2 linked regions of the Diceros bicornis minor genome follow. The protein of the gene in region 1 purifies or fractionates together with the protein of each later gene. This does not show direct contact. Links are inferred from orthologs where the notes say so. Each region holds a gene or a part of one and is shown in the gene's direction. Other genes may lie near its edges.

Region 1 (16,731 bases):
CCAGTGGTTTTGAACACCTGATGGCTGACAAAGACTTTCTCCGTGACCAAACTTTAGACAGTCTCCTCTGAGCTCTCTTTCAACAAGGCCTCATCATTGGGCCCTGTCCTCAGCCTGCCTAGTCCGTTTTAGCAAGAATTCTGCTAAGTCAGTTTAGTGAGAATCCTCCCACCCTTAATATCTGATCAAGTTCTTTATCTCTCACTTTTGTTGTCTAAGTTCTTGGCTTGCCTTTAGCTAGAATCCTGTTAGGCCAGTTTAGCAAGAATCCCCCTACCCTTGATGTCTTCTCTTAGTAATTTTCCATTAACTGACCCCCTCACTCTGCTCATTAGCTATAAATCTCCAGCTGTCTTCAGAGTTGAACTCATGCTCTCTCTCCTGTTGCAAAAGTCTTGAATAAAATCTGTCCTGCCATCTTTAACAAATGTCTGGTGAATAATACTCTTGGTTTCCAAATTTATATCTCCAGCCCAGACAAGGCCTCTGAACTCCAGACTTATATATACTATTGTCTATTTGATAGACCCTTTCAGATAGCTAATAGGCATTTCAAACTAAACAGATCCAAAATAGAACTTTTGATTTTCCCCTCTCACTTCAGTAGAATATCTCCTTCTACCAGACAGGCTGGCTAGAAGAGAAGGTAGGAACTGAAAAGTTTGCAAATCTCCTAGCTTTCAGTTTTCAGGCTTCTTCCTCTCCCTCCAAGCTTCTTAACCATAGCAACTGTGGTGGTTTTAAAGTATGGCAATAAATTTTTTGACATCCCTTTCATGAAGAGGTAGGGTCTACATCCCCTCCACTTGAATATGGGTGGGTTTGTGTATGCTTTGACCAACAGAAAATGATGGAAGTGATACTATATGACTTCTGAGGCTAGGTCATAAAAGGCCATGCAGCCTCCACTTTGCTCACTGGAACACTTTGTGGGAGCTTTGAGCAGCTATGTATGAAGTCTGATTACCCTGGGGCCACCATGCTGGAGATGCCATGTGTAGATGATCCAGTTAACTATCCCAGCTTGCAAGTACAAAGGTCCTTTTCTCTGTACTAAATATTAGGGTTGCAGAAATAAAGGAGGCAGGTTCCCTGCCTTCAAGACTTTCCACTAGCTACAACCCCAAGAAGAGAATCTAATTGTCTTCTCCCACATACACACATTGCTTTAGTATCATGGAGACTTACTTCTCATTCTCCTACTCCTTCTCCTCCTCATGCTCTTCCTCTTCCTCCTCAAGCTCCTTCTCAACCTCTTCCTCCACCTTTTCTATCTCCTCCTGCTCTGCTTTCCCTTTATTGCCTTCCTTTTCCTCTTTCTCTTTACAACCTTTAGGTCATTCATACTTGCAGGAGGGAGATTCAGAATTGGGAATGGAAAGGAAAAGAAACTTACCTGTTGCTGTTATAGTTTTCTATTGCTGGGTATCAAATCACCCTCAAAATTAGTGGCATAAAGAAACAACCATTTTGTAACAAGCATTGGCGAGGATGTGGAGAAAAGAGAACCTGTGTGCACTGTTGGTGGGAATGTAAATCGGTGCAGCCACTATGGAAAACAGTACAGAGGTTCCTTTAAAAATTAAAGATATAACTACCATATGATCCAGCAATTCCACTTCTGGGTATTTATCCAAAGGAAACAAAAACACTAACTCAAAAAGATATATGTACCCCCCCCCCCGCCATATTCACTGCAGCATTATATATAATAGTCAAGACATGGAAGCAACCTAAGTGTCCATCAATGAATGAATGGATAAAGCAAATGTGGTATATATATATATATACAATGAAGTATTATTCAGTCCATAAAAAAGAAGAAAATCTTGCCATTTGCGACATGGGTAGACCATGAGGGCACTATGCTAAGTGAAATAAGTCAGACAGAGAAAGACAAATACCATATGATCTCACTTATATGTGGAATCTAAAAAAAAGAAAAACAAAAAACTGAACTAGATACAGAGAACAGATTGATGGCTGCCAGAGGTGGGGGATTGGGGTGGGCAAAATGGATAAAGGGGGTCAAAAGATACAAATTTCCAGTTATAAAATAAATAAGCCCTGGGGATGTAATGTACAGCATAGTGACAATGGTTAATAATACTGTGTTGTATATTTGAAAGTTGCTAAGAGAGTAGATCTTCAAAGTTCTCATCACAAGAAAAAGATATTTGTAACTACGTGTGGTAAAGGATGTTAACTAGATTTATTGTGGTGATTATTTCACAATATATACAAATATCAAATCATTATGTTGTACACCTGAAACTAATATAACATTTATGTCACCTATATCTCAATTGAAAAAAAAAGGAGGGGCTGGCCCGGTGGCATAGTGGTTAAGTTTGAGCACTCCAATTTGGCAGCCTGGGCTTTGCAGGTTTGAATCCTGGGCGTGGACCTACGCACCGCTCATCAAGCCATGCTGTGGCGGCGTCCCACATACAAAGTAGAGGAAGATTGGCACAGATGTTAGCTCAGGGCTAATCTTCCTCAGCAAAAAGAGGAAGATTGGCAATGGATGTTAGCTCAGGGCCAATCTTCCTCACCAAAAAAAAAAAAAAAAGGAAACAACCATTTTATTATGCTCATGAATTCTGTGGGTCAGGAATTCAGAAAAATAATAGTGGAAAGGGTTTGTCCCTGTTCAGCAATGTTTGGAGCCTCAGCTAGCAAGACTCAAATAGATGGGGGTGACTCAAATGGCTGGTGGCTGGAATCATCTAGAGGCTTTTTTACTCATGTGTGTGGCACCTTAGCAGGAACAACTGGAAAGCTGGTCTTAGCTGGTATGGCCAACTGGAGCAACTACACATGACCTCTCTAACGTGGCGGCCCCAATGTAGTCAGGCTTCTTGTATGGCAGCTTTGGGCTCCCAGAGAGAGGGCTCCAGCAAGCAAGGTAAACACTATATGACCTTTATGACCTAGCTGTGGAAGTCACATGGCATCAATTCTGCAGTTTTCTATGGGTCAAAGTGGCCACAAGCCCACTCATATTCAAAGGGAGGGGACACAGACCCCACCTCTTAATGGGTGAAATGTCAAAGAATTCGTGGCCATGTTTAAAATCACCACAAGTTCTCAGCTCAAATGTCACTGTATCAGAGAGGCTATCCCTTTCTGCTATTCCCAGAAGTGGCCCCCCTAGGTACTCTATCCCATTTTGTTTATTTATTCTACAGCTCTCATCACAGTTTGTAATTACCTTATTCTTTCATTTTCGTTTGTTTTCTTTTTATTGTTAGTCTCACTTCAAGACTGTGAACTCCATGAGGACAGGAACTCAGCTTCTCTGGCTCACTCTTGTATTCCCATTACCTAGCACAGGGTCTGGCACATGGTAGATACTCAATAAATAGTTGCTGAAAAAAATTTGAATAACACGTAAGTCAATAAATATTTTCACATAACTTAATAGACTCTAAGGAACCACAAAAATCATCTGACCTTACCTTTTTGTCATCTCAAAGACGCTTGAACACCCCCTGGAGCCTAGAGCTCACTACTTCCCTAGAACCCTTCCTTTATTAAACTACTCTGGGTATTAGAAAAGTCTTTTTAAAATTCGTTATTTTCTCTAACCTACGAATAAAGGAGGCTTATTCAGGGCTGGAGAGGAAGTCAACAGGATTGGGCATTTTTTGAGCCCTTTCTAAGTGCCAGGCACTGTGTTAGGTGTTTTCCATTCATTATCTTCTTTGATCCTCTCAATAACTCTATGAAGCAGTTAGTGTCATCTCTGTTTTACGGATGAGGAAGCTGAGGTTCAGAGAGGTGAGGTGACTTACTCAATATCACATGGCCTCTAGAATTGAAATTTGAGAATTACAACATAGAATTGGAATTCAAGTCCAGGTTTATCTCATTCCCTAATTCATTCCCTTTGCTTCATCTTGAAGAAGAGAAAGAAAAATCAATTGTCCTGGTTAAAATGTGTAGTAGAAATAAAGGCTGAAAGTAAAAACAAACATATTAATTGATTTGTTTATCAAGCCTCATGCATTGCTTTCCTTGCTAGCCATGCTGTCTCATTGACAAAGATGGCAAAATCAAATATAGTTGCCAAGTCTCTCCATTTCTGGCCCCTAGACCATGAATATGTAGAAAACTACCTGCAAAATACAAAAACAGGGCCACTTCTATTCAACATTGTACTGGAAGTTCTAGCCAGGGCAATTAAACAAGAATATAAAATAGAAAGCATCCATATTGGAAAAGAAGAAGTAAAACTATCTCTATTTGCAGATAACATGATCTTATATATAGAAAACACTAAAAAATCCACACAAACAAAACTGCTAGAGGTAATAAGCAAATTCAGTAAAGTTATGGATACAAGATTAATATAAAAAATCAGTTGTATTTCTATACATTAGCAATGAACAATCCAAAAACGAAATGAAGAAAATAAATTCCATTTGCAATAGCACTAAAAAAAATAAAATACTTAGGAATAAATTTAACCAAAGAACTGTAAGATTTGTACCCTGAAAACTACAAAAAATTGTTGAAAGGAATTTAAAAAGACCTTAATAAATGCAAGGATATCCCGTGTTCATGGATTGGAATACTTCATATTGTTAAGATGGCAATACTCCAGAAACTGATCTACAGATTCAATGCAATCCCTATCAAAATTCCAACTGCCTTTTTTTTTTTTGCAGAAATGGACAAGCTGATCCTAAAATTCATATAGAAATGTAAGAGACCCAAAATAGCCAGAACAACCTTGAAAAAGAAGAACAAAGTTGGAAGACTTACACTTCCTGATTTCAAAACTTACTACAAACCTACAGTAATCAAGACAGTGTGATACTAGCATAACAACAGATGTAAGATTGAGAGACTAGAATTGAGCATCCAGAAATAAACATTTATATTTACAGTGGATTGATTTTAACAAGGGTACTAGACTATTCATTGGGAGAAAGAATAGTCTTCAACAAATGGTGCTTGAACAACTGGGTATTCACATGCAAAAGAACGAATTTGAACCACTTCCTCACATCATATATAAAAGTTAACTCATAATAGATCAAAGACCTAAATGTAAGAGCTAAAACTATAAACCTCTTAGAAGACAACACAGGAATAAATCTTCATAACCTTGAATTAGGTTTCTTAGATATGATAACAAAAAAGCACAAGCAATCAAAGAAAAATTGGACTTCTTCTAAATTAAAAACTTCTGTGCTTCAAAGACACCATAAAGAAAGTGAAAGGACATCCCACAATATGGGAGAAAAGTTTTGCACATCATATATCTGATAAGGGACTTAATATCTACAATGTATAAAGTATTCCTACAACCGAATGATAAAAAAGATAACCCAATTTTTAAAAGGGCAGAGGATTTAAATCAACATTTCTTCAAAGAAAATATACAAATGGCCAATAGGTACATCAATAGATGCTCAACATCCTTAGTCCTTAGGGAAATGCAAACCAAATCCACAGTGAGATACCATTTCATACCCACGAGGATAGCTACAATTTTTTTGTAAATCTGAAAAGAACAAGTGTTGGCGAGAATGAGGAGAAATTAGAACCCTCATACGTTGCTGATGAGAATGTAAAATAGTATAGCCATTGTGGAAAACAGTTCCTCAATAAGTTGAGTTACCATATAATCCAGCAATTCTACACCCAGGTATATAGCCAAAAGAATTGAAAACTTATATCTACACAAAAACTGGTACAGAAATGTTCATAGCAGGGGCCAGCCTTGTGGTGTAGCGGTTAAGTGTGTGCACTCCACTGCTGGCAACCCAGGTTCGGATCCCGGGCGGGCACTGATGCACCGCTTGTCAGGCCGTGCTGTGGCAGCGTCCCATATAAAGTGGAGGAAGATGGCCACGGATGTTAGCCCAGGGCCAGTCTTCCTCAGCAAAAAGAGGAGGATTGGCATGGATGTTAGCTCAGGGCTGATCCTCCTCACCAAAAAAAGAAAAAAAGAAAGAGAGAAATGTTCATAGTAGCATTATTATAGCCCAAAAGTGGAAACAACCCAAATGTCCATCAATGAATGGATAAATAAAATATGATGTATACATACAATGGAATGTTATTTGAACCTTGAAAACATTATGCTAAGTGAAAGAAAGTAGATACAAAAGACCACATATTGTATGATTCCATTTTTATGAAATGTCCAGAATAGGCAAATCCATACAGAGAAAATGTAAATTAGTGGTTGCCCGGGGCTGGGGAGAAGAAGGAATGAGGAGTGACTGCTTGTTAATGGGTACAAGTTTCTTTTCGGAGTGATGAAAATGTTTTGGAATTAGATAGTGGTGGTGATTGCACAACCTTGTGAATACACTAAAAACCACTAAATTTTACACTTTAAAATGGTGAATTTTATGGTATGTGAATCATGTCTCAATTAAAAAAATGCAAAAGGGAGGCCAGCCCCGTGGCTTAGCAGTTAGGTGCGTGCGCTCTGCTACTGGCGGCCCGGGTTCGGATCCCGGGCGTGCACCGACGCACCGCTTCTCCAGCCATGCTGAGGCGGCGTCCCATATACAGCAACTAGAAGGATGTGCAACGATGACATACAACTATCTACTGGGGCTTTGGAGAGAAAAAGGGGAAAAAAAAGGAGGAGGATTGGCAATAGATGTTAGCTCAGGGCCGGTCTTCCTCAGCAAAAAAAAAAAATATATGCAAAAGAGCAAGGCTGTCGATGGAGTAGGAGCAGGTGGGCAGAAATTCTATTTGGATGCCAGGTGGTGTCTCTAGTTCAGTAGTGTTAATGCAGGTCCCTGTCCTTCTCAGCCAGAATGGCTCTACTTCAGCTCCCACTTAAGATTTTTGTTTGAATAAGGGGTTCCCCAGCTAAAGAAAAGTGAAAGCCCCTGGCCCAATTGATTAATTGCAAAGAAGCTCCTCCTCTACTTCTAAGCTCCAGACTTGCGGAACTTTAGTAGGTGAGGTGAGGCCGGGGAGTCAAAACACCAACACAGACCAGTGGCCCAGAGGAGGGTTGGAATAAAGCAGCGTGGGTCGCTGGAGGCCTGCCTTCTGGCACGGTGTCCACTAGCGAGGCTCTCTCCGGCTCAATCTGGTCTCAGGCGAGAATTGACACATTCAAGAAGTTCAGTTTCATTCATAAACCTTGAGTATGTTCTGGCTCTCATCCTCAGATGGGTGAGCCAAGTCCCTGTCCTCAGGTGGCTCAGGCACAGGGCATGTAAACATGCCCAGTCCCTGAAGGCCCTGCGCCCCTCTCTTGGACTGAGCTGAGACCTTGAACTCACTGTCTCTCAAGGGACAGCAAGACAGAGGCAGAGGAGCAGCTTTTAGCTGGGAAAAAAGAGTGAAGGGAAGGGAATTAGTAAGTATTGGGTACTTACTCCGTGCCAGACACACAGGAATGTGCACATATACGATTTAACTTCCTCCTCACAACATCTTTGAGCAGTTAAGTGAAGGGACTTGTCCCAGGTACTTAGAGCTAGTATGTTGTAGAACTGGGATTTGAACCAGGACCATCTGATTCGAAAGTATGCCCTGGAGAAGCTGAAAGTTCACCAAGAGTTTTTCACCTAGGCCCCTCCACTAGACCATTTCTAGCTCCCACTATTTATACATTACTTGCTCATTCATTCATTCCATAAATTTCCCTGAATAGACATTTGGTGCCAGGTAATGTGTTACGCAACAGAAACACAAAGCTGAATACCTGAGTAAGGCATAAGTCCTTCCCTCAAGGATTTATAATGCAAAGGGAGCCAGGCCTGGACTGAGACATAAGACCAGGAGCTGAGTTAATTATACCACCAAGGAAGGCCCTGTGGTGGTTTGGCCAGATGGCAAGTGGTTTTAATAGGAGAATGAGAATTCAAGGTTTGGTGCAATGGGGGCAAATATATCGCCGATTCTCTACCCACCCCCCACCCTATCCTGTAGACGTGTGGGGTGTGGGGGAATGAGCAACCACCATCAGAGAGAACTGAGGGGGAAGTGGTATTCTGGGGCATGGCTTCTCAGCCACAGCAGGAAGTAGAGGGAGGGCTTGCTGCACTGGCTGAGGTTTAAGGGAGTTTATTGACTATAGAACTTAGGTTTGGGAGGGTTCAGTCAGAAGGGTCTTTGGGAAGGGGGCCGTGGGTGCCTGAGTGGAAGTGAGTTTTGGAATGAGAATGTAGGTGATCAGAGTTTGAGATGATCAGGGATTGAGGCAATGCAGTCTCGACTGAAACTGTGGGGTAAATACATTTCATACTCAGGTTTCCGAGGCTATTTTCAGTACAGGAAACAAGCTACGGTCTCTGCACAGGGTAGCAAATAGAATATGGGGAAAATTTGTCAGGAAGTGAGAGTGGGAAAGTCAGCTTCAAACCAGGCTGGAAGCACCAGCACTGTTTCAACTGTGAGAAGAATTTAGCCTGGAGTGGAGAAGAAGGGAAGTGGCTACTAGGTTTAACTCAAAACTTGACCTCTAGTTGTTTTTTCTTAGCCTCTTAGCTGTAAACCAGTCTGTTCAGTTAGTGAATACTTCCTCCCCTTCAAACTTTCTGTCTCCTATTATTGTTTCCAGTTTATATCTGGTTTAATGGAGAAGTAGCATGGTGCTATGGAACGAACTTGGACTATGGTATCAGTAGACTAGAATCTACACTTCATTAAAAGTCTCAATGATGTGCGCGCTCCGCTGCTGGCGGCCCAGGGTTCGAATCCCGGGCGCGCACCGACGCACCGCTTCTCCGGCCATGCTGAGGCCGCGTCCCACATGCAGCGACTAGAGGGATGTGCAGCTGTGACATACAACTATCTACTGGGGCTTTGGGGGAAAAAATAAATAAATAAAACTTAAAAAAAAAAAAGTCTCAGTGCCATAGCCCATCAGGGATGGAATTGGCCAAGACTGTAATGCAAGATTTAGAACTCCAATTTTTCCATGCTTCACTGCTGTATCATATAATGCGTGCTGACTTCCTTAGCTTCCCCGAGCTTCAGTTTCTTCATCTTTACAAATACCTTTCTTAATAATATCTACCTTATAGGTGGCTGTGAAGATTAAATGACATGTGAAGCCCATAATACAGTGCCTGGCCATGGTGTGCTCCTAATATTTTTTATCATTACATACAAAAGTTACTTGGCTCTATGGCTGCACATGGTAGGTGCTCAAATGAATATCTCACTACACACGTTATGGGCTGAATTGTGTCCCCCTCAAAATTCATGTCAAAATCCTAACCCCAAGTACCTCAGAATGTGACTGTATTTAGATATAGGGTCTTCAAAGAGGTAATTAAGTTAAAATGAAGACTGTAAGGTGGGCCCTAGTCCAACACGACTGATGTCCTTATAAGAGGAAATTTGGACACAAACATGTACAGAGGGAAGACCATGTGAAGACACAGGGAGAAGATGGCCACCTACAAGCCAAAGAGAGAGACCTCAGAAGAAACCAATCGTTGATCTTGGATGTCTAGCCTCCAGAACTATGAGAAAATAAATTTCTGTTGTTTAAGTCACTCAGTCTGTAGTTCTTTGTAATGGCAGCCCTAGCAAACCAATACAACACATACACATTGTACCTTTTAAACTGGCGGACAGAGGGCTCCTTCATTCTGCTGACTAGAAACTGCTTCTTGGCCTGTAGTCCTATATTCTCTAACTCAAAGTCCCATCTAAAAGCCCCAAGGATGCTGGGCCTGCTGGACTGACCATGCTGCCTTGGCGAGAGTGTTGTTCCCTTGGCTCGTGGCTGCTAAAGTGAAGTCATCCGGGAAAGAAAGATTTTTCTCTTCTGAAGCAACTGGTGACTTGCTGACCAGAGGTGCTTGTCATGGACCAGGGAGAGAATGCATCATTCATCGTGGTCTATTCCCGTGGTGCTTTCTGGCAGCATGGGGAGGGAAGGGCAACTGGGTGTGTGGTGTTGCATGAAGAAGTGGAGGAAAAGAGCTGCGTCTGTAGTGACCCTGGTGTTCTCTGTCCCAGGACAGTGGAGAAAGAGGAGAAATAAGTAGTTTGAGGTGGGAGGAAGGAGGAGAGGTGCCCGATGTGAAACTCAGGACACTTTCCACCCACAGAAGGGGAGAACTGTGTGGATCAGCGGGATCTTGAATCCCAATCTTCTGCAGGGCACTTGCGTCAGGAGGCTCTGGGAGGACCGCACATAGCCCCCCAGAGCCGTTTGCCGGGGAGGGCCGCCCTGGGCGGACAGGGCAGCGCGGGCGGGCAGGCGCGCACCCGACACGTCCTGGGGGCACTGCCCGCTCCGGGCGCGCGCCCGCCCCCGCCCCGCCCCGCCCCCTGCCCCCCGCCGGGCTCGGTGGACCCGGCGCCCGGGGCCGCGCACGACCCCTCCGCGAGCCGGGACCCCGGGCCGCGCGCGCCCCGAGCCCCACGCCCCCTCCCCGCCCCTCGGGCGCGCGCGCTGGCTCCTGCTCCCGCTCCCGCTGGCAGCGGCGGCGGCGGCGGGGATTGTTTTTGTTGTCGCTGAGGCCGGAAGAGCCGCAGGAGCCGGGTCCCTGTCCCCGGGCCGGGCGCCGCCGCCGCCCCCTGCCCAGCGTCCGCGTCTCCGCGGCGCCCCCCCCCCCAGCGCCAAAATTCCGGAGATCAAGCGTTACGCGGCGGCGGCGGCGGCGGGGCCCGGAGCGGGAGGCGCCGGGGACCGGGGCGAGGCGGCCCCCGCCGCCGCCATGGAGGCGCTGGGACCCGGTGAGGAGCGCGCTCGGGCCGGGGCCGGGACTGGGCCCCGGGACCGGTGGGCGGGTGGGCGGGACCGTCGCTCCCTGTCGCCCCCGTCGGCTCGCGCGTACCTGGGCTCGGGCTGTCAGGCCTCGGGGAAAGGGACCCGTGTCCCATTGCACAAGGCGAAGGGAGCTGACCCGGGCCTCGGGGGGCGGGGACCGCGCCCCAGCCTGGAGAAATGAGCCGATCTCGAGGTCTAAGGGAGGGAGGCCCAGGAAGGTGACCCGCGTCCCCAGCTAGAGGGGAGACCAAACCCAGCCTCAGGAGGTGGTCTGTCCTCCAGGTTGAGGCGAGGCCAGTTTGGGCCTCAGAAGGGACGGTCTGTGCCAGGTGCTCAGCGGAGACCTGGCCTGGACCTCACTGCGAAGGACCCGCACCCACTACCAGGGCATTCTTGGTTTGGGGCCGCACCCCTATTTTTCTTTGCCCTGGCAGATGGTCTAGAGCCCTCAGATAAGGAAGAAGAAGAACTTCCCCTAAACACTTCTCATGATCCCCGAAGGCCAAGGGGCAAAGTACCCACCCTTTCTCTAAGGCCCTGAAGTCTCTGAATATGGTCCTGTCATTCTGTGTGACAGTCCCAGAGTAATCTGGGCTAGCGCTTTAGTGACAGGCCAGTTACCAGCCAGCCTGCTCCAGCACAAGCTTTAATGCCCCGAGTTTTCTTCTAACTGGGTTATGGTTGGTTGTGAGGATCAAATGAAGAAGAAAGCCCTTTGGAAACTAATTCCCCATCTTTACCAATAAAGAGCCTCTGGTTCTCTCTCCCACTCTGCACAAACCAGAGGAACCATTCCAGGTTGTAACTAATGCCCTGCAGATTGGAGCCTGGTGCTCCCACCTTGAACCCCAACAGGTTTCTAATGCCTTAGCTAAGTAGGGCAGGGTTTAGGGGCTGTGATAGAATTAACTTTAATATCAAACCTTATCTACATAGTGGACTTAGTTGTACAGCATTTCATTTTTTCAGTGCATAGAAAATTCTGTTTACCATTTGAATTTGGAAAGTTTGCAGGTTTGTTTACTTAGAACTTTTTTACATAGCTGAATGATTAAACTCCACCTTAATTTGCTACTTAAAGTACTTTTTAAAGACCCTCATGATCAAATTTCATATGGCTTTTAAAAATAAATTGGTTTTGTCATATTAATATTATTTGATAAGCCCAATGTAAATATTACGCTAGGTTACTTCAGCTGTGTCCCCCAGCTAAAGGCATGATCAGGTCTTTAGGAATGTAACAGACTTCTGTTCAAATCCAATCTAATAATTTAATAGTTGTATAACCTTGGGCAAATTACTTAATTTCTTTGAACTTTCATTTCCTCATCTATAAAATGAGGGTAATAATAATTATGTGCTGCAAGCTTGTGGTGAGAATGAAATGAGATAATGTATGTGAGAAGTCTTATTGTAGGCCTAATGCATTGTAGATATTCAAAAAATGTTTCTTCCCTCCTCTCCTGTTAGTAACTCATAATTGAAGCAACTGTTGCATTTATGAGCTGATATTGAAAGAGACTGTGTAACTGTGTGTACAAACTGAATTTCGTGGAAAAGATCAACCTGGTGGTGTTAGGAACATACCAGAGACTCTTTCTTTGTTTGATTTTAGCTTTTGCAGGTTTGAAGACTTATCAGTTCACCCAGGATTGTGGAAAATTAATTCTCACTAACCACATTTATATGACACGAAGGAATAAACCAAAATGTCACATAGATCTTTTCTGTTGACTGGAACATTTTCTTGTCTGCTGTTTGGCAAACTCCTTTTTTGGTATCACGGTACTTTGGAAACCCAATTAATAACAAGAAGCTGCTTGCTGAGCATAGAATCAGAACAAAGGGAGTTGCTAGTCTTGTGGGATATTTCATCCAGGCTGTTGTAGAACCTAGAGAACCTTTCCTGCTTCTTTGTTAAAGCACACTGATCTAGTGCCTTGTGCTCTCCTCACTTGAACAATCATTGAAGCATTCTTCATCTTGCTCTGCTCTCCCTCACCCCATTTCGGTTTCTGACAATAATAGCTTGGAAATATATTTATTTCCATTTATTTTGGTTATATTAATGATAACTTTTATTTTTACAGTGCTTTACAGTTTGAAAAGTGCTTTCATAGCTCTTAGCTCATTTGATCCTCTGTGAGGTGGGCAAGGCATGTATTATCCCCATTTTACAGATGAGAAAAGAGGTTCAGAGAGCTTAAGTGACTTCATCAAGGTCTGAAGGCTGAGTGGTGAAATGAGGATGTCTGGGTCATCCAACTTCTAGTCTAATGCACTCCTCTTCATTTAAGGCTGACTTCATCCAGTCTTTGTTCATTCTTATTTGTTTCCTTTTCGGAAGATGTAATTTGCTAACTTTGTCACCAAGTTTTGGAGATGCTGCCAATATAAAGCCCAGGGATCTTTGATCACTGCCGGTAACGCTTATGCAAGTGCAATCATATAGCTAACATTTATTGAGCACTTACTATTAAGAGGCACTGTGTTAAGCCTTTTGTATACTTGTCTCATGGGATCCTCACAATAGCCTTATGAGCTACAGGCTGTTATTACCATACCTGCCCCATTTTATAGATGAGGAAACTAAGCCATAGAGAGGCTAAGAAACTAGCCCAAGGTCATGCAGTTACAGAGTGGTAAAACTGGATTGAAACCCAGGCAGTTTGGTTCCAGAGCCTTAGCCACTGTGCTTTATTTCTTCATAAATAGTTTGCTAAATTCAAAGAAAGCAGCTTTTGGAATGGAAAATTTTAGAATATAGTTTTCTAAATAAATCTTCTAAATTTATTAAAAGAATTGGTCACTCACCTTCTAACTTTTCTCTCTTGCCAGGGAAAAGAAACACATTTCTTTTCTCCACTTCTTAATCCCTTTTCTTTCATTTCCTCTGCTTCTGTCCCTTGGGCATCAAGTTCTTCAGAGAGATATAGATACCATAGGTTTGTGAAGTATATTCGGGAAGAAAAAGCATGGGACTGGGAGTTAGGAGACCTAGATTCTAGTCATGATTTAAAATCAAAGTCATGTGTCCTTGGGCAAGTCATTTGATCCAAATTTCTGTTTCCAAATTTCTATCATAAAGCTGGATTTGTGATACAATGATTGCTTAAGTGTATCTTGCAATATGCAGGGCTGATTTATCTATATGATTTAATTGGGTTAATTCAGTATGCCTTTTACCTCTTACCTTGATTGTAAATGTCTCATCACACCCAGAGTAGATCCCCTTGTACATAAGAAGTGGAGTCAACTCCAAGCAATAATAATATTTTTATTATAAATTTTTTGCTTTAATGAAAAATAATTATCAGCTATTGGGTTTTAGAAATGACGGAGTTTCTGTTTAGTTTCTATCTGGAACTGCTACAAGGATTATCGGTACTGTTCAGCTCGACGTTTATTGAATTCCTACATTGTGCTAGTTGTTGAATACTGAATACGGGAGAGATAACAATAAACCTGAGATCCATTTCTTCTAAGAGTTTACAGTCTAGTGGAGGAGACAGAGTAATTAACAAGTTGTTTCTAAGTACTTATGCTAAGTGCTGCCTTATACAGAGGGTCTTGGGAACACAGAGGATGCATCCCACAGTCTAGGAGATTCCGGAAAGGCTTTCCAAGGAGGTCACACTTGACCTGAGTTTTGAATGATGAGTAGAATTTAGGGGAAGAGTGAACAATTAATTTAATATGTGAAAAGATTTTCAGTACTTTAAGAATTAGTATATGGTGATATGTTAACACAATTACTTAAAGTGTTTGCTTTGATTTTCATAAGTGATGTTGGACTAGAACAGCTTCTTGCTTCGAAGTTTTCTCTCCTTAGTGGATTGTCTTTGTTCTTGGTGAAATGCCATTGCAATAAGAGAACATGTTGTAACTTTCCATTGGAATCACAGCCCATTTTACTCAACACCTATTCATAGCAGAAAAGATGTTTATTTTTTAGGCCAGTGTTCACTTAACGTTATCATCAAGAAGGAGTAAGGTTTTCTGTAGACAAATATTTTCCAGACTGTGTTTCCCCAAATCCTTATCTACTGAATATTGGTAGATGTTTGATTTTAAAAAGAGAGAGAGAGTTCTGGGGAAAAATAAGTTGGGTAAACAATGAATTAAAGTTAAGCAGGTTTATTTATTACGTGACTTGTTAGAGAATTTAATACGATAATGTACATTGGAATTTTAAGAAGGGAATATACAGTTTCTTTAGCTTATGGAATCCTTTTTTTTTTGTGTGTGTGTGAAATAATCTTGTGAACCATCAACGGAATAATTTGGAAAGACTGCTCGTCTACACCAGGGTTTCTCAACCTCAGCACTATTGATATTTTGGACTGGTTACTTCTTTGTTGGGGGGGAGGGGGCTGTCCTGTGCATTGTAGGATGTTTAGCTGTATCCTCAGCCCCTACCCACTACATGTCAGTAGCACCCCCCAAGCTGTGACAACCAAAAATGTCTCCAGACATTTGCCAAATGTTTTCTGGGGGACAAAATCTCCCCCAGCTTGAAAACCACTGGTCTAGACTGTAGGTTCCTTCAAGGCAGAGGCTCTGTCTTTTTCCTGAGTCCATAGTGCAGGTTAGACATTTAATAAATGAATAAATGTTTGTTAAATAAATAAACTAGACCTTATGATCTATTGTCCAGATTCTAAAAATACAAGGTTATAAACAAGAAAGTATATCATTATTGGTATTGTTTCACTTCTAAATTAGCAAGTAAATTGATAAATATAGCAGCTGTTTAATCTCCTCCTGTCTGTACAAACTAAAATAATGCAGGCTAATTTGTGGAGGATTAATGGATCATCTCCACCCTGAACAAGGTGATGGCCCCCAGAATTTAGAGATGGTCTTGTTTTAAAATGCATATAATTTTGTAAGCCTAGGTATAGATCTACTGATGCTCATAAAAGGTTTTGTACAGTAGCCTACCTCTGAGAGGAGTTCATCATACTATCTAATTTTGATGTCCCCCATATTCAAAATAACAGCAACATGGCAAAATATTTAGAAATCTAGAGAAGTTTATGTCAAAAGACACTCCAAACTCTTTATGTCAGAATATGTTCAGTGAATCATAAGATCTTAATAATTGTTGCTATTGTTATTATTACCATCATGATCATGAAGGGAATATTATCCTTCATGACCAAATAGCACGTCAAATGTTTTTCTGTCTTTTTAGGACCTCCAACCAGCCTGTTTCAGCCACCTCGTCGTCCTGGCCTTGGAACTGTTGGAAAACCGATTCGACTGTTAGCCAATCATTTTCAGGTTCAGATTCCTAAAATAGATGTGTATCACTATGATGTGGATATTAAACCAGAAAAACGGCCTCGTAGAGTCAACAGGTAAGGATTAGAATGAGTAGACTTCAATATATTTAAATACACATAATTTATTATGTATCATATTGTTCTCTAAATTCTTTCAACATGTAGGCTTTATTTTTCTCTGAGATGGTGAGTTTCTTAATAGCAGGTTTGCTGTCTCATACTTAGGTTTCCTCCACAGATTCTAGCAGAGTGCTGGATACATCATTGTTCAATCAGTAAATACGTATTGAATGAAGAAGAAAGGTCACTCTTTCATTGTCCAAGGGTAGCAGAAATTTATAAGAATAGGGAATATGGGAAATAGAACTATCTGGAAATTCAAATTTTATTAAGTAGTGGTATTAGACATGAGCAAAATATAAGTATAAAGACAGAATCATCTTGGAGTATTGAAAAACGTAAGCTTAGAGAGATCTGTTTAATTCTAGCGTTATCCAAGAGGGGTCTAGATGATACAATTTAACCATCGTGGTCTGTATGGGAGGAATTTACCAAGTGTGAAGACATAGTCCTGTAATAGATATTCTTACAGTGCACTGAGAATACCCACTTTCCTTTTCTGTTTCCACATTGTGATAGTCAAGCAGTCCTTGATATTAAGATTCTTGCTTTTCTAAGAATGCCCTTGCTGTCAAGTGAAATGTTTTATACTGCTTGATTTTT
Region 2 (16,203 bases), on another chromosome or scaffold:
ACTTTATATGGGATGCCGCCACAACATGGCCTGACAAGTGGTGCCTGGGTGTGCACCTGGGATCCGAACCCTAGCCGCCAGCAGCGGAGCGCACGCACTTAACCGCTCCGCCACAGGACCAGCCCCATGATAACTCTTTATTGTGTTATTTTAGTGGTTGCTGCAGGGTTTACATATACATACATTCTTAACTTATCATGGTCTAACTTTAAGCAATAGTACATATGTTGGTAAACAGATGTTACTACAATACATCCATTTCTGTTCTCCCAGATTTTGTGCTATTTTTGACTTACATTTTAATTCTACATATGTTGTAAACCTCACAATACATTTTATCATTTTTGTTTTAAACAATTATCTTTTAATGACATTTAAAGAATAAGAAAAATGTTTTTCATATTTATCTATGATTTCCCTATATAGGTACCATTGCAGTGCAGTTTTCCTAAAATTTGGAAAATTTTTTATCATGATTTCATCAAATATTTCTTCTATTCTCCTGTTCTCTCCTTCAAGGACTCCAATAACACATATATTAGGCCTTTTAAATTGTTCCTCAACTCACTGGTGATGTTTGTTTAATTTTTAGTCTTTTTTCCTATTTGTTTCATTTGAGATAGTTTCTATTACTATATCTCCAAGTTCTCTAATCCTAATCTTTCTGCAATGTCTAATCTGATGTAAATCCCACTCAGCGTATTTTTCTTCTCACCTGTTGTAGTTTTCATCTCCAGAAGTTTGATTTAGGTCTTTAAAAAAACTTATCTTACAGGTCTCTACTTAACCTTTAGAACATATGGAATACAGTCTTAATAACTGTTTGTAATGTCCATTCCTCCTTGTTTTAGCATCTGTGTCATTTCTGAGTCAATTTCAATTGATCAATTTTTCCCTTCATTTTAATCACATTTTCCTACTTTTTTGCATATCTGGTAATTTTCTACTAGATGCCAGATATTATGAATTTTACCTTGTTGGGTGTTGAATATTTCTGTGTTCATATAAATGTTCTTAAGTTTTGTTCTGGGAGATAGTTAAGTTACCTGAAAACAGTTGGAACCTTTTAGAGCTTTCTTTTAAACTTTATTGGGTAGTGCCAGAGCACTGTTTGTTTAGAGCTAATTTTGTCCCACTACTGCTGCAAAACCCTCCTGAGTGAGTATTCCACCTGATATTCCACTTGATGCCCCAGGTTTTCTACTCTGGTTCTTGGGAACAGGAACTATTCCAAGCTCTCTGTGAGCCCCAGAAAATGTTCCTTCCAATCCTTTTGGGTGGTTCTTTCCCAATCTTGAGTAGTTTTATGACATTCATCACTGTTCAGTTCTCAGCTAAAGACCCAACCATGACTCTCTGCAGATCTCGGGAGCTCTCCATCTGTGTGGTTCTCTCCTCTGGTAGTCTGACCTGTGAACTCTAGCCACCTTGACCTCTCCAGACTCTCAGCTACATTGTCTCAACTCAGAGAATTCACTCTGCTTGGGTTCTCCCTTGATGTAGCACCCCACCATTGCCTGGAAACTCCTTAGTCAGTAATCTAGAGCAATCATAGGGTTCCCTTCATTTGTTTCGCATCTCTCAGGGATCACTGTCTTTAGTTACTTGATGTTCAATGTCTTGAAAACTGTTGTTTCATAAATTTTGTCTGTATTGTTAGCTGTTTCAAGAGGGAGGGTGAATATAGTTTTGGTTGCTCCATCTTAGTTGGAAGTGGATGTTTACTAAATGAATGTTTAATAAATGAATGATGTACATTGTTCCTCATCCAATGTTTAATAAACAAATGATATACATTGCTCTATACATATAGTTTCCTATTTTAATGAGTAGGTTATACTCCCTTACTATCATTCTTTATTTTAATGTTCAAATTATCCTAAATTTGGTCAGTGGGTATAAAACATTTTTAAATATAAAACTGCTTCATGCAGCATTTCTCCACCAAAATTAATGGACTGAGAGTGAAGGAAGTTGGCCCTCAAGGAAAAGCGGGGTGCCATTCTCACTTGTTCCATTCAGAGAAAAAAGCAGAGAAACAACAGATTATTTTAACAGTGAATGTTGCCCTAGTAAGAGGTAGAAGCACCCACTTTATCCTCAACAAAACAGTAAAGGTGCCTGGTGGATCTGGTGGGAGACAAGAGCATCATGGAAAGAATGTTGTTTGCATCTGTCAGATAAAGCAAAACCCAGCAGATCTAAGAAACCAAACAGATCTCTAAGAGAATCTAGTTTTTGCTGGTAGTCAAGATGGTAATAAGCAGGTGTCTGGGAAAACAATGATGCACCTTGACATACATTATGGAATTGCTTGGAAGAAAGACAACGTTTATTTTTCACCATTCAACAAATATTAATTTAATGTTTAATTCCTCCTGGGCACGGCTCTAGATACGGGACTGCAACACTGAACACAGCAGATAAGTCCCCACACTTGGGGGCCTTACAAGCCAGCAGTGCCTGGATAAAATGAGTTATCTCATGAGACCACGTGGGATTCCAGCCCTAAATGCTCAAGAGTTTTTTTCTAGAGGGCTGAATTTCCACCTGAATAGGAGGGGACAAGAGTCAGTGAAGTCTTAAGTTAGTACTGGTACTTGAGTCCCATTTACATGGGTATGAGGTGCAGAGAAGCTCAGGGAAGGCTTGTCAAAGGAGGTAACATGTGAACTGAGCTTTGAAGTGGGAGTTTGTTAGGTAGACATAATAGAAGAGGTGTTCCACTAAGAGGAAATAACATGTGCAAGTCATAGAGGCATTGAACAACAAGAGAAAATGGCAATAATTCAATATCATTTGAACACAAAATAAGAATTCTAAGAAATTGGGCAGGTTAGGTAGTAAGAGTTCTTGAAGAGCCTTTTATACTAGACAAGGGGTTTCAGACAGTATTCTATAGACTATAGAGAGCCATTAGAATTGTAAGCTGCAGCAAGACCTGATCAGCTGTATTTGTTAGAAAGACCATTGGGGTGGTAGTGTGGATATTTGGATAGAGGGAGGTGAGCCAAGCATGGAGAAATCACTCCTTCATTTAATAAGTATTGTTAAGGGCCTTAATTTTTATTAGGCATTGTGCTAGATGCTACAGATAACAGGAGAACAAGACAGACACGGTCCTTGCTCTGCTGGAGCTTACAAAGAATCTGGAGAATCAAAGATTAAACAAACAATGACAGAAATACTACATTACAAACGTAATCACTCTTGAAGAAGAAGTAGAGGATCCCTTTAGAATATGTGATTGGGACTCCTAATGGCGTCCAGCAGGTGATGGTCAGAAAAGTCTTTCCTGAAAAAGTTACACAGGGGTTGAGAGCTGAAGGATGGTTAGGAGCAGTCTGGGTGAGGGAGCTGGGCACCTTTTAGAAAAAGAACAAAGAGCTCTTGTATTTTCTAGAGCTTGTGAGCAAGGGGGAGTGAGTGGAGCTAACACTGGGGAGACACTGCAGATCATGTTAAAAATATTAGGCTCTGAATCAAGAGCCCTGGAAAGCCTTTGAATTATTTTAAGCTGGAGATTGAGATGATCAAGTTTTCATTTTAAGAAAAATCGCTAAGGCTGCTGTATGGAGAATGGTTTCAAGAGGCAAAGAGTGAATGTGTACAATGCTGGCCAGGATGTAGAGCAACCGGAACTTTTCCTGGGATTGGAAATGTAACCCGGGGTCACCATTTTAGAAGCATTTTATAGTTTCTTATATAGCTAAATAGACACTTATCCTGTGACTCAGTAATTCTATTCCTAGCTATTTATCCAAGAGAAATAAAAACATATGTCTACTGTCCACAAAAAAGACTTGTACAAGAACGTTCATAGCAGTTTTATTCATAATAACCCCGAAGTGGAAACAACCCAAATGTCAATGAACAGGAGGGTGGTAAACAAACTTTGGTACATTCATTCAATGGAATACTTCTCAATAATAAAAAGGAATGAACTTCTAATACATGCAACAACATGAATGACCCTCAGAGACATTAAGTTCAGCAAGAGAAGCCAGGCACAAAAGGATATATACTGTATGATTCCATTTATATGAGGTTCTAGAACAGACAGTACTAATTTATAGTGATATAAATCAGAAGAGTGGTTTCCTGGTGTCAGGGGGGTGTGTGTGTCAGTGCGGGGGAGGGCAGGGAGCAGATAAGTGATGAAAAGGGGCACAAGGGCATTTCCTGGGGTGACAGAAGTGTTCTATACATTGATTGCAGTAATGGTTACATAAGTGTGTTTATTTGTCAAAACTCATTGAATTTTTCACTTTAAATGTGTGCACTTTATTGTATGCAAAATATACCACAACCAGAAAAAAAAAAAAAAGAGGAAGAAAAAGAATCTGTGGAGTTTTCAGAGTGTACTGAGGGTGGCAGTGGAGAAGCAGAGGAAGGAAAGAATAAGTGAAGTTCGGAAACAAAATAACTTATTGATGCACGGATGCAGGGGAGGGAAGAGTCAAAACTGACTCAGGTTTCTGGCTGCGGCAGCTTGGTAACTGGTAGTGTTATACCGACGTGGAGAAAACTGTCCATTTTGGGGCAGGTTTGTGTGTGGTGGGGGGAGAGGGACAGAGAAGGAATAAGGAGACTAAATTTTGACCCGTCAGTCTGAGAGGCACCACGTGGCCCCCTTATACTAGACTTAATCCTGTTAATCCTACCTTTCTAGATTCTTCACTGGAGTATCAGACTTCCTCAGCATTCCTTCCTCTGCTCTTTTCTCACTCCATAGCAATGGTTCTCAACAAAGTAATACTTCACCTCCCCTCCACAGAGGGGTTGGGGAAACCAGTGAAGTGTTTTTGGTTGTCACAAAAAGGTGGGGCTGTGCTATTAAGTTTCAGTGGATAGGCGCCACGGATGCCAGACAGCGATAGTCCCACACAATAGAGAACTCCCCCTCTCACTGAACACTCACATAGGCAAAAGGCATGTTTATAATTATCTGAGGACCTAACACCTCACTTTGTCAGTCTTAATATACCCTAAAATTTCCAGTAATGCAATTACCACGTAAATCGAGGGAGAATTGTTTTCTAGTGGTTCAGAACTTGACTGAGAGTTGTTTTCTCTTCCAGATAAATTACGTCTCCAACATCACTACAGTTTTTGGCGTATTGGTAATCAATCCCACACTGCTGTGTCAGTCTGCATTTGTAGTAGTGATTCTACACATAGCTGTCAGCATCTGCCTACTTTACTGTGTCTTCCAGTGTAGACATTCTCAAGCATTTACATAGTGAAAGACATTTTATTTTGCTATACTTACTTTTCTCTTCTTTCTCCTTTATGTCAGTGATAAGTCATTATATATGATTTTTAAATTATGTTTTAGATAGATTATATTATCTATGATTATCATTTTGGAATAGTAAGGGGTAGTGTTACAAAGTATTTCTCATCAAAAGGGGCTGCAGCATCTAATATGGTTGAGAAAAACCGATCTACAATATAGTGGTTAGTGATCTGGGCTCCGGAGCCAAAATGCTTGGTTTTACCACTTACTATTTAGGTAACTTTGGCCAAGTTAATTATTGTCATCTGTAAAACGGGGCTAACATCCTCCCTCATAGGGCTGTGTGAGCACAACAATAACGATTAGTTAATATTTGTAAAGCACTTAGAACAGCACATGACTGGCACATATTAAGTACCAAATAAATTTTAGTTAGATAAAATAAATACGGTCTCTCCAGGAAATCTTATGCATGTTCATGTCTTCAATTTCCATTTATACATTATTGCAGAAAATTTCCTAAATTTAAAAATATTTTGAGTGAGCTTTGCCTAAAAAAATACATGTATATCTCAACATGGTATTTGGTAGAGCCTTAGGAGAAAAGAATGCTTTTCTTTCAAGTACATAATTTTCCAAGTATTAGGCTAATCATTCACCTTTCTCAGGAAGACAAAGAAGAGAGGGTTGAAGAACATTTATGTTCTGGTAAAATCAGAAACCAACGGAACGAAAAACCCAAGGAAGAAAGACAAGTGGCAAAAAGGTTTTAAGTTTAAATTTGTACAGCCTCTGTTTCTTATTATGGTCACTAAGAAGCAACAAGAAGCTTCCTAAGATAGTTACAGATTCTTCCTAAGCTATTCCATAGAAAGTTACTGTAGGAAAGACATTTAATGTTATATACAAATTCTCGAACTGTAAACCTCAACCATGAGGCAAGGAAAATACTCTAATATTCACTTAATCTAGAAAATATGCCTGTTGTAGGAAATGGCATTTGCTTACTCAAATGAGCTGTGTTAATGAAACCCATTACTCTACAGAGGACCTTGTTTCTGGTTTTGTTCCTAATTGATTATGCAAGTAAAATAAAAATGGTGGCTCCACTGGATTTAAAGCCAAATACAATAGGAAGCCTGTTTTCATTCACAATGAGGACCCATAAATTTAAACCTCCAGCCTGAGACCCCTCCTTTGCTGTTCCCTGGATCCTGAGTTGGCTGCCCCTCATCCTTCAGCTCTCAACTGAAGCTTTACACTGTCAAAGAAACCCTGTTTGACCACACAATCTGTGTCATCTTCTTTTGTTTTACACTTTCTTAGAGCAACAGTTCTTTCCTTCTGTGCACTTGTCATAATTTTTACTTATAAGCTTTATAGTTTTCTTAAAAAAAAATCTGTCTCCTGCATTAGACTTAATCCACCAGAAAGGTTCCTTACAAGTGCCAGAGAACCAGGCCCTAGTACATTTCCTAGTACATAGCAGGTGCTCAATAAATATGTGTTGCCCGGGGGAAGTGTCATTTTGGCATTCTAGGGTACACAGTTGAGATAGGGGCTAAAGATATGAATGTGAGAGTCATCTGCATTTAGATAGTATTTAAATACAGGAGAATGGATGAGATCACTCATTCTAAGGAGAAAGTGGAGATGAGACAGGGAAAAGTCTTGAACAGAGCCTTGGGGACCTCCAACATTTAATAGGCATAAAGCAAGAGATGCTGGCAAAGGAAACAAAACAAAGGAATGGCTAGAGAGGTAAAAAGAAATTCAGGAGAATGTGCTGCCAAGACAGCCAGGAAAAGAGACCTTCTTAAGAAGGTGGGGGTGGGTAGTTGTGGCAAATACAGCTAAGAAATAAATGAAGATCAGAATAGAAATGTTACCATTGAGTTTGCGGCTTCTAGGTCATTTGTGACCTTGATAAGAGTGATTTTGAGGGAGAAGTGAGGGATGTCAGCTTAGAGTGAGTTGGGAAAGGAGGTGCTGGAAGCAGCTGGCGTAGAACACTTTTTCAAGAAGCTTTGCTGGGAAGGAGAGCAAAACAATGAAGCTGGAGAGGAATGAAGCATCAACAAAGTTGTTTTGGTTTTGTTTGCATTTTTTTTTTTTTTAGTGGAAGTTACTAGAATATGTTTGTATGGTGATGGGAAATATTCAATATAAAGAGAGATTAATTATTTAATAAAGAGAAAGAATGACAAGAGGAGAAGATCCCTTAGTAGGTTCCTGATAAGGAATCAGTGCTGATCTTATATTGTCATTCTTCTTTGACCTACCCTTATGCACCAAGTTTAAGTAAGAGATCATTAAAAAGTGATTAGTTTGACTTCATAATGCAGCCCTGAAGGGGTCATATGGGACATGTCAACCACTCTGGAAAGAACTTCAAGAAATTCTATCTCCTCAGTTTCCCTGGGGCTGGGAATTAGTTCCAGTGTTTCTCAACCTTGTGTGCTATTGGCATTTTGGTTCAAATGCTCTTGTGTCGTGGGGGACTGTTCTGTGCATTGTAGGATGTTTAGCAGGATTCCTGGCCTCTACTCACTAGATAACCGGTAGCATCCAGTTGTGACAACCAAAAACCAGCCATTGCTAAATGTCCTTTGGGGGGGATGTGTGCAAAATTGCCCCAATTGAGAACCACTGAGTTATTCAAACCTAAGAAAGTCTAACAACAACAACAACAAACCAGCTAATCTTACCTGTGTAAATGTTGATAAATACTACTGTTTTCATTGCCTTATGCTGTTGTGGAAAATTATTCATGAACCTGGTGTGAAAGCCTATTGTGCTATACATACATGTTAGTATTTTTTAACTCCTAAAGAGATACTGTAATATAATTTTTAACATTTTAGTAGAAAGAACAATAAAAGAAAACCAAACCAAATACATGTATGGATGAATCAACCTTAGGGATGATGGCAGGAAAAGGAAAGTCACTAGCATGTATTGGTGGTCCCTACATTTTATATTTTGTAAACTTGATTTAAAAAAACCTTTTTTCACATGCTCATTGTATAAAAATGAAACAAACAAAAAACCCCCCAAAAGCCAGATACATTAAGAGAAGAAAATTAAAAACCTCATAATGTCATCAGTTAATATTTTGGTGCATATGCTTTAGGACTTTCTGTGCATCCATCCATTCATTTATTCATTAACTTATTTATTACACATCTCCCTCAAAGTGGTTAGGAACCAGGCAGTGAAGGCGATTTTGTTTTTTTTTAATGGGAGAGATTTGGGCATGTTCTCAAGCCAGTGGAAGGACCTATTTAGAAAGAGGAAAATGGTATGATCCATAGAGTGAGGTTTCCGAGAAGGAATGAATTTTAAGCAGAAGAGGATTTATCTTTAGGAAAAAAAAGCATTGTGAGAGGATGGAAAAAATACACACATATTACACAGGGATATATGTATCTTATTGTATCTACATGTATGTATATTGCTGTATCTACCTGTAGGTATGTAAGCATCTTGTATCCACATGTAGGTATTATTTTTTAACTTTATCTACACGTATGTATCTTACTGTGTCTATATGTTTTTTTACCATGTGAGCCACTTTTGGTACCTGCTTTTTCACCTTTTCTACTGTAACCATTTTCCCCATTCCGTTAGTCTTCCTCCACATCATTTTTACAGTATCCTAAGGCATACCAGGAGTTCGGTTTTTAAGGCCACCTCCTAATGTTGGACATTTTAGCCGTTTACAGTTTTTACTATCATCAATGCCCGGACTTGATATCTTGGCGGTGTAATATTCGCAGATAACTCAGATTATTTTCTGAACAGAAATTCGGGCAAGTGGAATTGTCGAGTCAATGGTCTGCAAAATTCGGTAGATACAAATCGCTTTTAAACCTCACCGCCCGCCTCAGGTACGCATTCTTTACCTGCGGAGGAAACAGAGAAGCAGGGAGGTTAAATAATTGGCCCAAGGTCAAAAATGATTAGAAGTGGCGGATTTCAAAAGCCGGAGCGGGCTCATCACCCTGCAGCAAGGGTAGAATTTGCGGTTTAGGCGATTTTTTTTTTTTTTTTTTGATGTGTGTGTCAGTGGGGGAGGGGCCGGGTGGCAGGGAAGGAAACTTGTGTCGCAGCAAAGAAGGAGGAGGAGGGGAGGGACTCGAGTCAGATCAGAGGCGGCCGCGGCGAGAAAGGCTGGGCTCGGGGCTCGGCGGGCCCCCCAGCCGCTCCGCGGGGCGCCTCGGAGGCTGTGAGGCCCGCCAGGGAGGTCCGGCGGGGGGCCGCGCGCCGCGCCCGGGCGGTTGCCAAGGGCCTGCCCCGTCTGCGGGTCCAGTTGCTAGGGCCTCCATCTTGAGGCCGCCGGCCGCGGCGCCCCCGGAAGGGGTTGCCGAGTGGGGCATTCACTTCCGGTCTGAGGCCTGCGGCGGCTGTGGCGGCGGCGGCGGCGGCGGCGGCGGCAGCGGGTCGGTGTAGAAAATGGCGCTGGTGCAGCGGCTCGGGCCTCTCCCCGCGGCGCTGCGGAGGGCTTGAGGCTCGCGAGCCTCACTCGCCGCGCCCCACTTGCTCGTGCACTTTACACACATGAGGTGAGCGGGGCGGGGGCCTCCCTCCGGGCGGGAGGAGCCTCGGGCGCTGCCGCAGGGCCCGCGACTGGGGGCGGCGGCGGCGGCGCCGGGCGTCCCGGGGACCTCGGGGCTTGGCGGGGGGCGCGGGCGGCGCCGCTGCGGAGGCCGGGCGGCAGGCCCGGAGGGGCCGCGCTGCGCCGCTGGGGCCGGGCCGGGGGCTGCGGCTCGCCCGCGCCGCCTGCCCGCAGTCCGGGCTGCAGCCCCGCAGCTTTGTGAGCCCCCCCGGGCGCCCCTCCCCTCCCCCATCCGGCTCCGGCGCGAGCCTCTGCCGCAGCAGCTCCGTTTTCACGCGCATCTCTCACTCTTTCTTTTCTTTTCTGTTCCAGAGAATTGGAAGCTAAAGCTACCAAAGACGTAGAAAGGAATCTTAGCAGGTAAGATGGGCGAGCTTTCCGTCTCTCGCCCCGTTAATCGTGTATTTCCACTCTGGTTCGCCCTTTCTGGGGTTATAAGTTCCCCCGTGTCATTTTCTTTCGCACGCAGGGGACAGGCATTCGGGAGAAGAGGCCAGAGGGAATATTGGATGGAGGGATTCCGGGGAGATGCGTAATTACGCGTGTGTTCCTTTCTTTGTGGGGGGGGAACAGCGAAAAGCAATTCTTGTAAACTTAGTTAAAGCATTCTTACCCTTTTAGAATTTAATTAGGGGACTTGTGCATTAATTACTATTGTAAATGGTTGCAGGCATTGTGTGACTCATGATTGAGGCGGCCCTTATGGCGGGCTGTCAAACTGTTTTGGCTTCCCCGTTATTACTTTGTAACTCAAATTGTTGCCCTTATAAAAAGATACTATGTGTTCGCATTTTTTTCAGCACATTGTAGTCAGGCGGGTTCTGTTGCAGTGGAAACAGTTTTGCCCTTGAACTTTACCAAGCATAAACTGTTTTGTTTTTTTTTTTGAAACTACGTTTGTGTCTACGTTCGATGTGTGCCCTTTTAATAGCCGGTAAAATAATTAAAAACCTGTTCCCATTAAGTGGTTATCATTGCTTTTGGGCCTGAGTGCTTTTGCACTGGTATCTTAAATCATCGCCACAAAGGGAGTTTTTTGTTTTTTAAACGATGCCTTCATGGAAATATTCAGCGTTATTGAGCTGTAATTGCTTAAGCATCAGGGCATTGCACTGGATTTAACTCTTTTTCACATTCATGTTGTCTTACAGTCTTTTCCTTTCTTATTCGCCGTTTTCTTTTGCATCATATTGGGACACTCGAGAAACTTCTAGATTAATTTAATCAGTGAGCAGCTTTCACTTGGATAGAATGAAATAAAATTTCTCCTATCTCAGTTCTTAATATAATTTGTGCTTGATGACTGTTTTTAGATTTATGTTGAGGTTTATTAACACTCACAAATCAAATCGTCTGGTTACTTTTCACCACATAGAATCATTCCAAATTGCTGGTCTTTTGAGTTTTATAGATATTAATCTGTTAAGGTGATCATTAAAGAATCTGTTTGGTTGGTGAAGGATGGGCATTATTGGCTTACCAAATAAGAGATTTTTTTGTTATTCAGAATAATTATGGGATCATTTAAAGGAAATTAACCCTGACATCACTGACTAAGTAACTGTTCATTGGACATTTAAGTAAGTTTTATTGTCAAAAGTTATTAAATGTTAAGATATGAAACCATGAAAGAAAACAGGTTGAGTTTTTAAGGTGTAATTTCAGCAGCAGAAAGGAGCTTGGAGTTTGGGTCTGTTTCTCCTTCCATTTTTGCTTTGTCAGGTAATTGTATCAGTATAATTCCTATGGAGGTTTTCTGGGACTTAATTAAAAATTGTGTCTACCACAGGTATAATTTTTATATACTATTACAGTTGGATAGAACTTGGAGTTTCTGTATCGGAATTTGAATCCCAGCTCTGCCACTTACAATATGACCTTGACTCTTGGCAAATCACTTAGCCTCTGTGCCTAATCTATAAAACAGAGGTTTGGGCCAGCCAGTTGCAAAGGTCTGTAGGCCCTTGGGTTATGTAAAGGGAGTCACGGGAGTCATATAAAAAGGCCACAGAGAGCATGTACAATCTGGTAGGCAAACTAATAAGTATTAAATAACTAATACAAGGTCAGTGATGTAGGGATCAGAAGAAGATACCATCCCATTGATATACTTGAGGATCTTCAGTTGGTCAGAAGGAACGAAAAGGAAAAATAAGTGTCAAGGAGGTTACAAGGCAGTGTGTACTAAGGACCATGAGAGGGGAACATTTCCTAAAGGGTGAAAGTGTTCTGAGGAGGGAGAGATGTGATTAGGTGGGCAACTGCTTCCGTTCAATTCTCTCTAGTTCTATGCTTCCTTTTTCCCAGATAAGAAGAGTATATCTGTCTTGACCCATTCGTGCTCTCCCCAGGAAGTCAAGGCATTATTTTCCAATAAACATTTCTTGAGCATCTTCCATGTTCCAAGTGCGAGACTAGGCACTAGGGAGGGGAAGAATGGCAGTAGCTAAATTTATTGAATGCTTCTATCTGCCTTGACACTCTTTTCTGAAGACTTTACATGGACTCATCTGATCCCTGGAACACTGTGTGAGGTAGGTACTATTATCCTTGTTTTATGGATGAAGAATTTGGGACACCAAGAGGTTAAGGAACTTTCAGGAGGCCACACCACTGGTAAGTAATTGGAGGAGCTGTCGAGCTTTGAACTATATTGTATTGTCTCTTACTAGAGGCGTGGTTCTTTACATTGAAAAATTTGAAAATCTCCTTGGGGAGGCAGAACCCACAGATACGTGCAGTTCTTCTAGATCAGAGTTTCTTACCTGGGTACTGTTGATATTTTGGACCAGAAAATTTATTGTTGTGAAGTCTGCCCTGTGCATTGTGGGATGCTGGACAGCATCTGCCAGTGGCACTCCCCACCCAGTTGTGACAATCAAAAATGTGTTCAGATATTGCCAGATATCCCCTGGGGGGCAAGAGTCACCCCCAGTTGAGAACCACTGTTTTAGATCTTTACATTTCGTGAAGATAACTGAAGATTTGGATTTTTAAGGTGAAATCTTTAAATGTTAAATTAATTTAAACTTTTTTTTGGGGGGTGGGGGTGAGATCAGCCCTGAGCTAACATCCATGCCAGTCCTCCTCTTTTTGCTGAGGAAGACCTGCTCTGAGCTAACATACATTGTCAATTCTTCTTCTTTTTTTTTTTTTCCCTTTTTCTCCCCAAAGCCCCAGTAGATAGTTGTATGTCATAGTTGCACATCCTTCTAGTTGCCGTATGTGGGACGGACGCCGCCTCAGCATGGCCGGAGAAGCGGTGCGTCGGTGTGCGCTCGGGATCCGAACCGGGTCTGCCAGTGGCGGAGCGTGTACACTTAACTGCCAAGCCACGGGGCAGGCCCCAATTTAAACGTTTTAATACCATGAAAGTCCAAACTCTATTTTGTGGACCGCTAGTTTGGAAGCTCTGTCTCTGAATATCAGAGATGTATTTCCATTCTCCTTTTCCTCTGCAAAGCTGCAAATCCTCCTCAAGACAGTGTGCCAGGTAGCCAGTGCCATTTAAACAAAATTGGCACAAAAGATAAATTTAGTTTACTACCCTAGGTAAACTCTTTCTTAATTCACTGTTGGCCATTAAAATTGTCACTTTATAGTCAGTGTCATGGGTGTTCAAAAGAGGGAACTATAATGTCTACATGGGAGTTCTCACCGTTGGAACTGAACTTTAAAGAATGGAATCAATTTTGAAAAGCAGAGAAAAGGGTAGTGTAAGAAGAGGAGCAGAAAAAAGGCACAAAATCCAGAAAGTACAGGGAATTTTTAAATAGCAGTGAGTAGTTCATTGGATTGGCATATAAAGTTGGGAGCAGATGCAGAGGTTCTTAAATATCAGGTTGAGGAATTTTTACATGAATCTTTAGATAGTGGGGAGCTATTGTATGTTTTTGGGTGGGTAGTGATATGATAGAATAATGATAACTAGTGATCTAGGCAAGACCTGAATTAAAGTGGTGGTAGGAAAGAGGGGCGAGTGTGAGATACTGGGGAAGTAGAATCTGGGATTTGGCTGCTGACTAATCTGGGATTAGTTGTGAGAGGAGTCTAAATACACAGGGGTCTTGGGTGAATGGGAGATTGACCTAGCCTCTGAACAGGTCAGAACAGAAATAGGACTTTCTGTAGAGAAGGTGATGTTACACTTTCCAGTTGTAAAAAATCTCTTCTAGTCTAACTCAACTGATGTAATTTTTAAAAATATTTTGGAGGCCAAAGCTATAGAATCATTGAGTATTTAGAGCTGGACCATGACATTAAATAGAGACTAGCCAGTATTCTGACCCTTTCATTTTACAAATGAGAAAGCTATGATTGAGACAGATCCAGTAACTTAGTCAAGGTTATATTCTCTAACAAGTGACAGAGTTGGGATTCAAACAGGCCTTTTGGCTCATGATAACTATAGGGTTCTTCCAACTATGCAGTATTTTATTTTATATTGCACTATAGAAAAAAGAAAACTTTAGCTTCTTTCTTTCTGAAAATGTAAGAACAATGATCTTAACCATATTTTGTGCCCATTCTGGTAATGAATTTACTGTAATGTAGGGTATATTATTTAAAGTAGAAGTTAACATGCTTCATGTTATGCTGATTCTTTTTTTCCCCAAACTCAGTTATTAAATGCCATTATACAACAACAGTTAAAGATGATGTAGTACCATATAATGTAGCATCTAAACTGGAACACCTTTATCTGAGACTCTTTTGCCTGGGACAAATGCTATTAAATAAGAAAAGACTAGGGACGACAGGAGTAAACCAGGGCATTCGTTTTCTCTAGATGAGGTGGACCCTGCTCTTGAAATTCATCAACCTTTATCTGAAAAAAAAGTTATCTTCTGATTTCGTTAAGCTTTTCTGTTGCTTTCCTGTGATACGGTTAGTAGGCCAGCAAATTCATATTGGTAAGTTTCTTTCTAGCTTAATTTGGCAGCTTTGTGGTAATTAATTGATAGAATAAACGAATCACAAACTGTAAGCTTAATTTTAAAATGTGTAACAACCCTCTGTGGCAAATTTAAATATAAACATCATTAAAAAATCTGAGATCCATTGTATAACCTCTTGTGAATTTTGGCATCTGAAGTACGTCTGCAAGTATAAATTAAAGTCCTTACAGTTCTGTTTTATGACAGCCTCAAAAGTATTGCCCATGATTGGGGAGACTAAAGTAGATGTGTGCCGTATATATTCTGCTCAGACCGATGACTTAGGACAAGTCTCTCACTCAAAATCAAGAAAATGTCCTCCCATTTAAAATTTCTTAAAAAATCATTCTAACCTTCAGCGAAGTAGCAACAATAGTGTGCATTGAACACCTGTATCTCTGTCTAGGTTTACTGATTATTAGTATTTTGCCACATTTATTTTATCATGCCACTTCACCCCTAAATAAGACAACGTGTGTCTCCCAAGAACAAGGGCATTCTACATAACAACAGTTAAATTATCATGCACAGGGAAGTTTAACTTTGTTACAATACTCTTCAGTCTGTATTCAAATTGTTCCAATAATGTCTTTTTAAATATGGGTATTCTTTTCCCTCAGTTCCTTAATCCAGGATTGCATTTAGTTTTCTTGTCTGTAATTTCCTTACATCAGATACAGTTCCTTATCCTTTTCTTCCCCTTTCATGACATTTACATTTTGGAATAGTCCAGGCTAGTTTCTGCAGGCTTCAGTTTGGATTTATCTGATTGTTTCTGTAGCATTAGATTCAGGTTAAACCTTTTTGGCAGAAACATCACATAAGTGATGTGTTTGTCCTGAGGACACCACATCGGGCTCCCTCCCTCACCATTTTTAAGCAAATTAACTGGAAGTTTACCCAGTACTTTTACTTTTGCACTAACTCAATGTTTCTTTTGTTTTAGGTTATGCCAAGCAATTAGTTTAAACTGAGATATAATTTTAAATAGTTTCCTGGTCTTCTAATCACAGGTCTTCATGTTTAAATTGATCAATTGTAGTGATTGCAGCTTTTTCAAAGGTTATTGTTAGACATAAAAGTTGCTTGTTTTCAGCTTTCACCAGTGATAAACTGGTAACCCTGGTAAGAAAATGAAACATAGGTCCTGGACGTGTGATATGCATTCTTAAAAAGAATGCCCCGTTGAAGTGAGAGTGACATTGTGCCACCAGAACAGGGGTTCTCATCCTGGATTCCACAGAGGGACCACACATAGTATGAAGTAGTTTGAAAAATTATATGTGTGCTTTAAGAGAGATGGTCCTTAGCATTTATCAGATTTCAAAGGGTCTGGCTCCCCAAAGATTAAGAAATATTGTGTTATGGGGAGGATGTCAGAGGAGCGAAATAGTATCAATAAAAAGGAG

The links.
Region 2: the proteins of AGO4 (region 1) and TNRC6A purify together in Homo sapiens (co-immunoprecipitation; 4 studies listed by BioGRID and IntAct, with this or other methods). This does not show direct contact. The link is inferred for Diceros bicornis minor from reciprocal best matches to the Homo sapiens genes AGO4 and TNRC6A.

The regions. Positions count from the first base shown.
Region 1 is NC_080752.1:50,072,354-50,089,084, forward strand, and holds the start of AGO4 (protein argonaute-4), read left to right. Parts: upstream 1-10,399; 5' UTR 10,400-10,667; coding exon 10,668-10,686; intron 10,687-15,917; coding exon 15,918-16,083; intron 16,084-16,731.
Region 2 is NC_080765.1:27,281,091-27,297,293, reverse strand, and holds the start of TNRC6A (trinucleotide repeat-containing gene 6A protein), read left to right. Parts: upstream 1-9,675; 5' UTR 9,676-9,799; coding exon 9,800-9,804; intron 9,805-10,169; coding exon 10,170-10,217; intron 10,218-16,203.